3 linked regions of the Ovis aries genome follow. The protein of the gene in region 3 binds, or shares a complex with, the protein of the main gene of each other region. Links are inferred from orthologs where the notes say so. Each region holds a gene or a part of one and is shown on either strand. Other genes may lie near its edges.

Region 1 (4,059 bases), on a different chromosome or scaffold from region 3:
ACCTGGGAATCCAGAGATCCCGATTGCTCTGCAAGCACAGTGGTCTCTGGCGCTGCTTCCTCTCACTCCTCCAGCAGTGGTCCCCAGTCCCTGCCTTTTCCAGCCTACTGACTCCTTTATCAGTGAATCAAGCCTCAATTTCACATTCACATTCTTCCTGGCTCCAAGTCTTCCTCTGGTCTCAGGACTTCCCACCAGCTCTCCACCTTCTCAGGTTGGCCCTAGTCTCTTTTTCTCCTAGCCTCCCTTGCTAACCTCCATGTCCAGTTCTCCCATCTCTTGATCCCCCTGAGGAGACCAGCCTGAAGCTTCTCTCCAGGCCCCTTTCTGATCCTGGGGTCCTTCTCATAGCTGGGGCTCCTCTGGGCTCAAATTCTCCACTGCCTCCCCCTGAACTCTCAGTGCTCCCACCAAAGCTGACTCTCACTGCTGGGCTGTCTTCCCATCTCCGTTTTCCTCTGATTCTCCGCGTCTGCTTCCTCTGTGGGGCTCCCTTGGTATCTCCCAGTCTCTGCCCGTGCCGCCTTCCTCCTCCAGATTTCATTCCCTCTCTCATTCCCGGGCTTCTGGTCCTGCTCCCATGTCTGTGCACCCCTCAATTCCTGTGGTCTGGCCATACCCCCTCTCCTCCCTGGTGGCTCTCTGCCCTGTCTTCTCTAAGTCCCCCACTCGTTATGCCTGTCACTTTCCTTCTCTGTCTCTCTAGTTAAGTCTCTCCTCCCAGTGTCTTCCCCCTCCCCAGACCCTCTTACCCCTGCCTTTGTCTCTCTCATCTCTTCCTCCTGCTCTATCTTTGTGCCCTTGATCGGTGTCCACTTCCCCCCTTTATCTCTCAGGATCCCCTTGGTCGCTCTGACTCTGACTTTCTCTCCCTTCCTCTCCCTCACCCTAGGATCTCTGTCTGCCTCTCTCTGAGTCCTCGCTCCCTCCCTCTCTTTTCCTCGGCTCTCTCCGGCTCCCTCTCTCGCCTCGGATGACAGCGCTGCCTCTTTTGTTGGCTCCGCAGCCAATCGCGGCCGCTGACGACACGGGGGCCGGGGCTATAAAGGGCCTGGCCCGGGCTCGGGCCCCCCCAGCCGCCCGCCCCGGCCGCCCGCCCGCCCCGCCCGCGCGCCCGCCGCCCCCGGCCCCCCCGGCTCCCCCTCGGCCGGGCAGCCCCCAATCCCCACGCCGCCCGGACCCCCTCCTCCCCCTCCCTCCGCCCCCTCCCCGCGGGACTCCGGCGTCCCCGCCCCCCAGTCCTCCCTCCCCTCCCCTCCAGCATGGTGCTCGCGGCCCCGCTGCTGCTGGGCTTCCTGCTCCTCGCCCTGGAGCTGCGGCCCCGGGGGGAGGCGGCCGAGGGCCCCGCGGCGGCGGCGGCGGCGGCGGCGGCGGCGGCGGCGGCGGGGGCCGGGGGGGAGCGCTCGAGCCGGCCGGCCCCGTCCGTGGCTCCCGAGCCCGACGGCTGCCCCGTGTGCGTGTGGCGGCAGCACAGCCGCGAGCTGCGCCTGGAGAGCATCAAGTCGCAGATCTTGAGCAAACTGCGGCTCAAGGAGGCGCCCAACATCAGCCGCGAGGTGGTGAAGCAGCTGCTGCCCAAGGCGCCGCCGCTGCAGCAGATCCTGGACCTGCACGACTTCCAGGGCGACGCGCTGCAGCCCGAGGACTTCCTGGAGGAGGACGAGTACCACGCCACCACCGAGACTGTCATTAGCATGGCCCAGGAGAGTAAGTGGGCGGCGGGGTAGGAGCGGTGGGGTGCTGGTTCCCGCTCCGGCTCCGAGAAAGTGAGCGCCTCCGGCTCCGAAGCGGGGCGCTCCGGGTCACTCCGGCCGGAAACCCTTTTCTGCGAAAACTTGATGGATGGGGGGGCGGGGGCTGCTCCACAAGTTTTCCGAGCTGTGGAGATGGGCTGCGGAATTGTGTGCCCGCCCCGCTGCCGGAGGTGAGGGGGCAAACGGAAAGGGTTGCGAGATACCGCCTCGCACCCGTGTTGTGGGGATTCTGTAGCGGAGGGGAGGGGGCGGCAACTCATCCTGAAGGGTCCTGGTGGAGAGGCTGGAGAACAGAATCGGCAGGCTCCGGGACTCGCGCAGTCCCAGCCAGGCTGCCGTGCTCTCCGCCTCTCAATGGACCTGGCACCGACTCACCGCCCCGTACACCTTGGGCTTTGCAACGCGCCCCTCGGGCTGCCGAAAACCTAGGGCTCCTTTCCGCCTCCCAGGAATGAGATCCCGAGCCCTGTATCTCAGCCAGGGCCCAGCAGGCACCCAGCCGGCACCCATTCCACCGGGAGCCCTTCTGACACCGGCTCTCCCCAGGGGCCGAGAAAGCCGTGCCTTCTTGGTACTAACAGAGCTCAGAGAACTCAACTCCATGGCGCTGGGGCTAAGGGCACCCATTTGGCAACTCAGACCTTAATGTTGTATCTTATATTCACCCGCCTCTAGCCGCAACCAGGCTTGAGGAGCGAGAGAAAGACTGAGGGAGGAAAAAAAATTTGGTAGGAGGGAGGGGAACCCAGGCATCCTAGTCCCTGGCCAAACGTAAGATGAACATGTTAATAGACTTGAGCTGCTTTGAAATTTTATGGCCTGGAAAATCCAGGCCAACACTGCCCCCCCAACCCCACCCCCTGCAACCCCCCCAGCTCTCCCTAAGGTCAAATGATGCCCTTTCCCCCTCCTCGCACTGAGGTGTTCCCCCCACCCACCCCACCCCCAGCAACTGCTGGGAACCAGATCCCCTCATTCCCTTGTGGTTTGGCAAAGTCGCCCCCCTCCCCACCAACTGGTTTTATGGCTCTGAACAGAAGAGGGGGAGACTGGTTTATTGGCAAATGGGTCATAAAAAGCTGAGGGCTGAGGGGAGTCCTAGCAGCCCACCCCCAAGGGAGAGGCACAGGAACCCAGGTGTGCCTCTGGGAGGCTGAGTGCCCAACACTGCCACCAGTTTTTCTGTGACCCTAAGGCCACAGTACTTGGTTAGGGCTGTAAAGAAAAGCACACTCAAGGGACTAGGAAACTATCCTGGGGTGGGGGTGGGAAGGTCTAGGATCTGGTCTTGAGTTCCTCAGTCTCCCTTCTGTTCTTAAGGTTCTGCTTTTATACAAGCAATGGTCAGACTGACTGAGAGCAGAGATGGGGGTTAGAAATCAAGTTAGAAACAAGAGTGGTTGAGGAATTCTGAAGAAGAGTTTGCTGGAAGAAGATGAAGGGTATGGAGGAAAGAGATACTTTGGTCTATGCGGTGCGGGTGTGTGAGGATTTCGAGTGTGAGGGATGGAGCTGTGGACTTCCCCTTGCTCATTCTATCCCTAGCATCTCTTAACCAATAGGCCAGAGCCCAGAGATCGCTCTGGTCGTTGGGATGCAGGAAGTGAACAGATGCTGCACACACAGTTTGGGAAATGCAGGTTAGACTCAGGGGGTGGGCAGAAGGGGGAAGGACACCAGCAGGTGGGGTTTCACCTCAGCTTCTACCCTCCAGCCACCCCAGGGCTTGGATAACTAGGGAACTGGGTCTCCAGCCAGGTATTGTACGTCCCCTTTAAGAGACAAGCTGAGCTCTTAAGAGAGGGAGGGGGAGCCGAGGGGCGGGGAGGGAGAGAGGGGAAAAGGAAAAAGAGACTTTTATAGTCTAATCCCCAGGGACCCGCTTTAATAAGAGACTTGTGCTCTGCTAATCGGGGGAGGTGTTTGTCAGCAGAGATGGCCTCGGCTCCCCTCCCCCTCCCTCCCCTCCCCCCAGCCCTCTACCCTGGACCCCAGCCCCCACCTCTCCTAGGCTGCACTGCCTGCCCTAGTTCCCTCCACCCTCTCAGGCTCTCCCACCCCAGCCTCCATCCTGGGAACCCAGCCCCCTTGCCCTTCAGGGAGCCAAGCCCAGCCCCTCAGTTTCTCTCTCTCCTCCCTACACCCAGAGGCCCCTGCCCTCTCGGTCCAACCTCCTGCCCCTAGGCTTTCCAGCCAGGGTGAGGAAAGTGTGTTTGGTGTTTGGGAGTGGGGGGTGTGGGAAGAGGAGGAGGTGGTGAGCAGGGAGGGGGTTGGGCTTTTGCTGAAAATAGTGCAGTGACCTCTC
Region 2 (3,943 bases), on a different chromosome or scaffold from region 3:
GGATGTGATCGTTCTAGAGACCAACTCCATCTTCATCTTAAGACCAGGAAAAGCTGTTTTGAGCAGGACCTTCCTCCTTGGGACAAGGAACCTTGGTGAGGTTTGGCCCCTATATGCCTCCACCTGAGAGCTAAGCTTTTCTCTGGGAGTTTGAATTTGAAGGTTAGGGATGATGGCTCAGAGGGGGAAAGTGTGAATTGGTAATCGCTTTCATATGACACTTGAGAGATGTTATAATAAAGCTGAGTAAATTGGAGCATGAGTTAGCCGGCCCTTTGCCTAATGATGTCACCCACTTTCTGCTTCCTCCAGCCTATGATTAATAAAAGGGGATTATTACAGTAACTCACTCCTAGTGGGCAGTAGTGACTTCAGCACCAGCTGAGCAAACTGACTACATTTAGTCGTGCGTGTGCATGTGGGCATTTTTTTTTTCCCAGTGACTAACATGAAACTAACAGCATCTAGTAAAACAAAAGCTCCTTGAAATTTGGGGAACTTCTTGGGTGAACTTTTTTCTCCAGGGATCACAGTTTTAATTACTCTCATTTCATACTTAAATGAGGCAAAAGGACAGGATTGGCTTCACGTCCCCATTTATTAAGTGATCACAAATTCACCCGTGGCTTGTTGGAAAAGAGGTGTTCTGAAGCTTTTTTTCCTTCTAATACATTGTCTCTTCCTTCCTCCATCATTCGATCCCATCTTTAAAGAAGAACTTGGTAAATATCCAGAAAAGGGGGACAGGAGCTGAGTTAATTTTTGAAAGTCTAAGGCTAGGTGTAGACCCCAGAGAGTTCAGTGAAACTCTCCAAATACTGTGCTTAATTATAGTGTGCTTTCCTAAGTTGATAAAGACTAACGGAAGTCCTGCCTGCCAAGGCACCTTTGCAAACTTGACCTTCCTAAAATTAGAGTGGGGCACCTGTAAATATTTACTAACCAAGCCACAGTGTCAGTGTCTGTGAAAGTACACCGTGCCCAGAACAAGGGCACTCCTGTCATGCAGGCCTGGATGGGCCTGGGGGTGCTCCAATAGAAAGGTAGAACCTTTGGACTCTCTATCAGCACAGGAAGGAGGCAGCGATTCACTGATTAAAAAAAAAAAAAAATACACACAGGACTTCCCTAATTCTTTTCTGTGTCTTCCCTCCAAAGCTACAATTTGGGAGCAGGTTGTGGATGGGCAACATTGGATTAAGATCAAGATTCCTTCTTTTATGAGTCTAATGGCATCTGTAGGCTAAGCTTCTGAGTCTTCCAGGCAGCAACATGGAACTTTCAACCCAAGGGAATCCAGGTGAGAACCACAATTACAACTATTTGTTATTCGTTCCTTTGCAAGCATTGTTCATCATCTTCTGGGACAATAGGAAGAGCAACCAGATGTTCCCTGATTGGATTAGAACTGACTTTTGATAAACACTTTCAAAATATTATGTTGGTTAGTAAGGCCTTTTCGTTTTAGTGTTGCTTTTATTTCTTTTTCAATATCTATTTTTCTCTAGAGGTTATAACTGTGTATTTCTCTCTCTAGATTGAGTTTTTCACCAGGACTAAATGATTACTTCTTGGGAAGAAATCCAGGCTTTTCTGAATCATTTGGAAGTGGATGGAAGTCTTTGGTTCTAAAATAACCATCTATTGCAGAAACTAGATTCAGGTGTTGGCGTTGATGAGATGGCATCTGAGTGTCTAAGACGTTCCCCTCTTGCCTCGTTCATCTCAGAACATTCTCTGACTGACCCTCTCCTCTCTGGATAACCCAGGTCACTTAAGAACTAAGTGATAAGCCTGGAGAGCTGGCCTTATTGTATAGAGATCAGCATTTCACATCTCAGCTAGATGAATCCAGCCAAATTCCCTTTTGTGGGTTTCACCAGCATTTGTTGATGATGCTGATTATTTTCTGTGATATGGTCTCCTTCACAATATTTCCCCCAGTCCTCACAGGAGAGTAGCACCTGAAGGGGCATGGCCTTCCTTTACAAAGGAAATTTGGAGAATATAAAGTTGCTTGGAACATGCATTAGATTTCGCAAAGCACTGTTTTCTCTCTGTGGATATTGATTGTGTGTCATTCCCCCAAGGTATTAAACAAATAAAATCAGCCACATCATATTTGCTTGCTCTGGGAGCAAAGCATGGTAATCCCACTTTTGCGAATTTCACTTCAGGGAATTTGCTAGTGAGTGGATTTCTCAGATACCGACTTGCTCAAATGAATAACTCACTCCCCATTCACTTTTTGTCTTCCATTATCCGTTGCCTCCTGACAGCTTGGGTGGGGGCTAATTCATCTCGCTTTGCTGCCAGTCACCAAGATTTTGCTTTTGGTTCGAACACAAAGCCAGAAGCAAATACTTGGAGGCCTCCCTGGAAAGTTGGTGGGGATGCTTGAGAAGCACCCTTGCTCTGCTGTGCAGGCTTCTGGTAATCAGGAAGCCCAAGCCATACAAGGAGGCAGAATCACTTGAATGATTCCTCTCTTGCATAGATGCCGGGGCCCCTTGGAGCATGGATGGGAAGGAAATTAGGTGAAACTTTGGAATGATAACTCAACGTCAGGGCTTCTCCACTGCAGAGGAGTTACCATTTGGTGTCGGATGATTTCTCTGCTGAGACGGCTGTCAGGGGCACCATTAGAATGTTTAGTGGCAGCCCTGGCTTCTACCCACTAGAGGCCAGTAGCACCTTCCTTCCCAGTTACACCAAGCAAAAATGTCTTCAGACATGGCCATATGTCTCCTGGGGAGCAAAATCATCACAGTTGAGAGCCACTGCTGTAAGTGGAGTGATAACAGTTTATTTACTGAGGTTTTTCTTTCTGGTTTTTTCCTTAATCATTTTAATTCTAGGGTCTGGGTTCCCTTGGTTCAGGTAAGGCACTTCCAATTACTCTTAAAACAGAGTAGTTGCACATAGGACAAGGCCTTGTGGGATATTCTGGTGGTTTAAAAACAAAAAACAAAAAACAAAAAAACAAAACAGGATGCTTAGGAATAAGAGTTTTAGATTAACTATTTCTGATCCTGTTGTGTTCTAGTGAATTTTGGAGGACTTTTTATTAAAAATTTACTTTATTGAAGTATAGTTGATGGACAATGTGTTAATTTCTACTATACAGCACAATGAAACATTTATACATATATATGCCTCCTTTTTCATATTCTTTTCCATTATGGTTTATCACAGGATATTGAATATAGTTCCCTATACTATACAGTAGGAACTTGTTGTTTATTCATTCTATAGAACAAGAGTTTGCATCTATTTATCCTAAACTAATCCATCCCTTGGAGAAATTTTCATGTTTCCCTCTTCCTCTCTATTAAGTTGTATTTATTCATTGATTTGACCAGCAAACAGCTTCCTAGTTCAGTTTAGAATGTGAAATGCTCATTCTTCCTTGTCCCAAATCTCTCTTCCTAACCCAGCGCCCAAGAGATGGGCAAGCTCCGGCTGTCCAGGAAACAGGCAGGGATTGCCAGTTCCCTATTCAACCCAAACCATTCGATGAGACTCCGGAAATCTCCCGGCAGCAAATACCACTCTGGATCCCGCCCACGTTTTCTGGATCCGGAGAGGCACTGCCTCTCGAGGGAGTCACCACTCCCCACGGAGGCAAGGTTTTCCTGCCTGGAGCCCAGAATAACACGTCAGCTGCTGAGAACACCTCGAATCTTATTGATTTCTCCCTCTAGTCACGTTTTCTGTTCGGTCTCCCAGACGGGGGGATGAACCAGAAATCATGCTTTTGGGGGAACAGATTTTTCATAGGAAGGAACTAAAACACCCTGAATCGTCAGCAGCCTAGTCAGTGCTGTGAACCCCCCAGCCTCGTGCCATTTCGACTGAATCAGATGACAAGGTCCCAGTCACCTGCTTGGGGCGTTCACGCCTCCTAGCGGGATTTTTTTTTTTTTTTTTTTAAACAGAATAA
Region 3 (4,031 bases):
AAATTTAAAAGGCAGCTTTGAAATAAACAATATAGCATTTTCCGTGAAGTAATCGTTTTATATAAAAGGAAATATCGCCTCCTCTGTTTCATTCAGCGGTGCCAAAAATGTTATAAATGAGAGACCCGCCAACTTTCAGCGAAGAATGCCAGGCACTGTGCTTAATAAACTGAGGCTACAGAAGTTCATTATCGATGTTGCAATCTTTTTTATTCCGCGAACCGAGAGAGACTGAGGAGACTGGGAGTGAGAGAGACAGACACAGGACAGAAACTGGGGAGTCTCCGAGCCGCGGAAGGGGGGTAGACCGCCTACGTCGGCGCCCCCGCTCCGGGCTCCGACTCCTCCAGAAGCTGGGAAGCGAAAGGGGAGAAAAGAAAAGGAGAGGGCGAGACTGTGACGGTGGGGGGGAGGCCCGGCCCGAGGTGTTAAACATTTTTGTTTGCTTCTAACTCGTCGAGACGGTGGGCCGCGTCTCCGCCAGGTTCTGCCCGGGGTGGAAGGTGCCGGGGCCCGGGGTTCCCAGCCACAACCCTGGGCTCGGGGGTGGCCGCGGCGCTCGGCACGCGCAGACCCAGACAGACAACGTCGCGGGGTCCCGCCTCCAGGCTGCGGGGGCCTAACACGGCAGCGACCGGACCTCCGGCGGGGTATTAAGGCAGCTCGGGGCTCTCCGGGCGTTTGCGAAGTCTTCCTGGAGCGGAGGAGCAGCGTTGCGATCAACTCCCGCCCTGCCGCCCGGCTCCGCTCCGCCCTGCCCGCCGCCGCCTCCAGCGCCCACACCGCGCCAGACACACACACACTCACACACACACACACACACACACACACCACCCCGGGCGCGCCGGCGCTGCCAGCGAGCGGCGGCGTGCAGGACTTGAAGTGGGTGTTCTTCCCCACTCCCCACCCCCGAAGCGTCCCCCCCACCCCACCCCCCCGCGCCCGGGTCTCCTGCCCCCTCCCTCTCGCTCCTACGCAAATAAGAACTCGGCGATTCCCCTCCTGCCGCTTTGATTTCGGGCACCTCCACCAGATAATTGGGAAGGGTTTCAGAAGGTGGGAAATGTCACCTGATTCACACTGAACTTTTAAAAGCTCCCCACCCCCAAGGAACCGCGCACACCCTCGCTCGCGGCCGCCCTCCCACTGCCCCACACACTGGGAGACCGCCCACCGCAAACCGTGGAGACCCCCGTCTAGATTTAAAGCGCGGCTGCGCCTGGCTTCTGACGTCCATTGAATCGCGAGGGCGGCCGGCGGCAAGCGCTGGGCTACGCCGGGATATCTGCGCCCTCCGCTGCTCGCCTCTGCGACGCGCACCGCTTGCCAGAGCCACCCGCCGCCGCGCCCGCTCCCCGCGCCGCCGCGCCCGCTCCCCGCGCCGCCGCGCTCCTCGCCCCGCGCCTAGACCCAGGATGGCCCGTCCTAGGCACCAGCCCGGCGGGCTTTGCCTCCTGCTGCTGCTTCTCTGCCAGTTCATGGAGGACCGCAGCGCCCAGGGTAAGCGAGGCGGGATGCGCAGGGAGGCTCGGAGGAGGGCAGGGGTTTGTAGTTTTCGGGCGTCTCCACCGGGTCTGTTCTGAGCAACTCTGCTTTCGGAAGATGTTGGACCAACTTAGCGAATCCGGGATGGAGAGGAGTGGGAGAACTGAAGGCAGTGACACTTTAGAACTGGGAACCGAGTTTGGAGCGCAGTTATCCTTTAAAAGGAAAGGGAGTGAGCTAGAGTCTCTCTCAGTAGTTAGGGTTAGATGCTCCAAGTTCTGGATGTAATGAGTGTAGATGTTATCTCCCCTGTTTGGCTCTGAAGAAGGGGATAAGCATCGGTAGCCTGAAGATTGCAATCGACCCATTTGCAATCTAATCTCTCTCCCTCGTGCATCTTTTGGATACTTTAAAAAACGACTGAGTGGGGAGGGGGGAATACTGAAATTTCCTCGGTGACTGCGGGACGTGGTTTCAGAAACTTTGCCCAAACTTGGAAATGAGGGTGCCGAAAATTTTAGAGGGAAGTAGCTTTCTGCCTAGTGGATGCTTCGTCTAACCCCCTCCCCCCAACCCCGCAAAAAAAAAAAAAAAATTACCCCGGACTGTTTTGAAAAGTTTACAATTTTTTCCCCTTTTGTCTCATTACTGATTGTTAACTTTCTGTAGAACAGTGAGGAACCCACAATTGATTTAAATTCTGAGATGCAATAAGAGCAAATTTCTAAAGTTTTTTTTAATTAGATTTATCTCCATTAGTCTTGGGCAGAATTTTTAAAAATAATAATAGCAGCTTGCAGTCCAATTATTGTTAAAGTTATATGGATGATTCATGAGAAGTCTTCCTGACCAAAATCTGAACATTAAAAAGGAAGAAGGGGGGGATTACTTGCAAAGATATCTCGGTAGGTATGATATAGGGGTATATGAGACAGGGGTATGTGTGTGTGTGTGTGTGTGTGTGTGTGTGCGCGTGTATGTATGTATATGTATATATAACCATGAAACGATAGTAAGTCCCTCTCCCACCTTGTTTCCCCCCGCCCCCAACCTCGGTACTTTTCTTGAGGCAGACTTGTAACTTTCCTGACTTTAGCGTTATTTTATGCGTGTTGTATACGGCCCCTTAGGCACGGCCCCTAGCCGCCTGCGATGCACTACTGCTCTGAGTTGTCCACCTTTCGGAGCGAGGCGCTGCCTGACTGCCCGGGACGTGGGCGCCGGGGAAAGCAGCCCTCAGAGATTTCGAAAGATCGCGGTGGCCGCGGGCGTCCTTTGGGTCTGGAGGATTGCAAAACGGCCCGTCGGGCGGGCTGCGCCTCGAGGCCGCGAGGGGCAGCGCCGGGCAGGGCCCGGTTGCTTTTTTGCTTTCATTTTTCAGAAGTGCCTTTTGCGTGATCTGTTGCTGTATGTGTGTGTGTGTGTGTGTGTGTGTGTGTGTGTGTGTGTGTGTGTGAGTGTCTGTCTGTCTGTCTGGGTCTCTCTCTCTCTCTTTTTCTTTTCTTTCTAAGTTCTCCTACTTTCTTAACCCCTGTCACAAATAATACTCGTACCGCCTACATGAAACCGACATGTAAAAACATCCGTCGCATCCTGTTTTTGTCAGGTTCTTTAATCTGCTCTTCGAGTCGCTGCAGGTTATGAAATGGGACGAATAAAAGTAAACAGTCTAGTAAAAGTCAATGCAAGCTGCACGTGTTGTGTCTGGGTCACTGGTAACTGACATTGATATGGCTGGAGCGCTCGGGCTTCTCGCTCTCGCCCTCCCTCCCCATCGCCCACCTCCCATCTCTTCAATCTGGTCCCCCCACCCCACCCCCCACCCCTCGCCTTTCTCCACCCCTTCACTCCCTCTGATTTATTTTCTGCTTTTTCTCTGCCGTCTCTCCTCCACGCTCACTCCCTCGCCATCCCCGCCGGGTCTCCTTCCCTTGCCGGCTCACTGCCTTCCTCCCCCTACCCAGCCGGCGCCGCCGGCTCACTTGCCTACCTCCCCACCCCTGTCTCCCCGCAGCTGGAAATTGCTGGCTCCGCCAAGCAAAGAACGGCCGCTGTCAGGTCCTGTACAAGACAGAACTGAGCAAGGAGGAGTGCTGCAGCACTGGCCGCCTGAGCACCTCGTGGACCGAGGAGGACGTAAATGACAACACGCTCTTCAAGTGGATGATTTTCAATGGGGGCGCCCCCAACTGCATCCCGTGTAAAGGTAGGGCTCTTCCTCCCCAGCCTGCAGGCCCTCAGTAGAGGGCGTCTTACCCTCAGCTTCCCCCGTGCCCAGCCGGGGTTTGGGACTGGGAGAGCTTTGTTTGTGGGTTCCCCTGTTAGGAACCCTGGTAAGCTGATGGGGCTGAATCGCCTGTCACACACTACAGGCAAAACAAGGGTCGCCAGAGGTTCTCGGACTTCTTAGCCAAATGTGGCGGTGAAGCCAGCCAACCCTTGCTCATTGAGGGAGATTTGGGTACAGGATGCAGCCCACTGTCCCCCACCCTTCCCTCTTCTCAACTTCCGGGCAACAGCCTAGCCCCTTGGGCTCAGACTCCTAG

Evidence for each region.
Region 1: the proteins of FST (region 3) and GDF11 are in contact, whole or in part, in a crystal structure (PDB 5JHW), measured with the Homo sapiens proteins. The link is inferred for Ovis aries from reciprocal best matches to the Homo sapiens genes FST and GDF11. Residues at the interface, in NP_037541.1 of Homo sapiens: Leu34, Arg35, Gln43, Val44, Leu45, Tyr46, Lys47, Thr48, Arg60, Ser62, Asp72, Asn73, Leu75, Phe76, Met79, Ile80, Leu134, Asp135, Arg149, Gln153, Pro154, Glu155, Val180, Val181, Asp182, Gln183, Tyr188, Val190, Thr191, Asn193; in NP_005802.1 of Homo sapiens: Asn299, Leu300, Gly301, Leu302, Glu310, Arg312, Asp328, Trp329, Ile331, Ala332, Lys334, Arg335, Tyr336, Lys337, Tyr347, Met348, Phe349, Met350, Pro354, His357, Gln361, Ile380, Asn381, Leu383, Phe385, Asp387, Lys388, Gln389, Gln390, Ile391.
Region 2: the proteins of FST (region 3) and INHBA are in contact, whole or in part, in a crystal structure (PDB 2P6A), measured with the Homo sapiens proteins. The link is inferred for Ovis aries from reciprocal best matches to the Homo sapiens genes FST and INHBA. Residues at the interface, in NP_037541.1 of Homo sapiens: Trp33, Arg35, Val44, Leu45, Arg60, Phe76, Met79, Asp135, Glu152, Pro154, Glu155, Val180, Val181, Asp182, Gln183, Tyr188, Val190, Arg221, Thr224, Cys225, Arg229, Ser230, Ile231, Gly232, Leu233, Glu328; in NP_002183.1 of Homo sapiens: Asp315, Phe327, Asp337, Trp338, Ile340, Ala341, Gly344, Tyr345, His346, Gly360, Thr361, Gly363, Phe368, Thr371, Arg397, Ser400, Leu402, Tyr404, Asp405, Asp406, Gly407, Gln408, Asn409, Ile410, Ile411, Lys412.

The regions. Positions count from the first base shown.
Region 1 is NC_056056.1:163,715,400-163,719,458, reverse strand, and holds the start of GDF11 (growth/differentiation factor 11), read left to right. Parts: upstream 1-1,259; 5' UTR 1,260-1,262; coding exon 1,263-1,707; intron 1,708-4,059. UniProt on the Homo sapiens protein: Secreted signal that acts globally to regulate anterior/posterior axial patterning during development. May play critical roles in patterning both mesodermal and neural tissues. It is required for proper vertebral patterning and orofacial development.
Region 2 is NC_056057.1:80,952,308-80,956,250, forward strand, and holds the start of INHBA (inhibin beta A chain), read left to right. Parts: upstream 1-1,143; 5' UTR 1,144-1,300; intron 1,301-3,943. UniProt on the Homo sapiens protein: Inhibins/activins are involved in regulating a number of diverse functions such as hypothalamic and pituitary hormone secretion, gonadal hormone secretion, germ cell development and maturation, erythroid differentiation, insulin secretion, nerve cell survival, embryonic axial development or bone growth, depending on their subunit composition.
Region 3 is NC_056069.1:25,761,226-25,765,256, reverse strand, and holds the start of FST (follistatin), read left to right. Parts: upstream 1-1,231; 5' UTR 1,232-1,415; coding exon 1,416-1,500; intron 1,501-3,499; coding exon 3,500-3,691; intron 3,692-4,031. UniProt on the Homo sapiens protein: Multifunctional regulatory protein whose primary function is to antagonize members of the transforming growth factor beta (TGF-beta) superfamily including activin, myostatin, GDF11 or bone morphogenetic proteins (BMPs).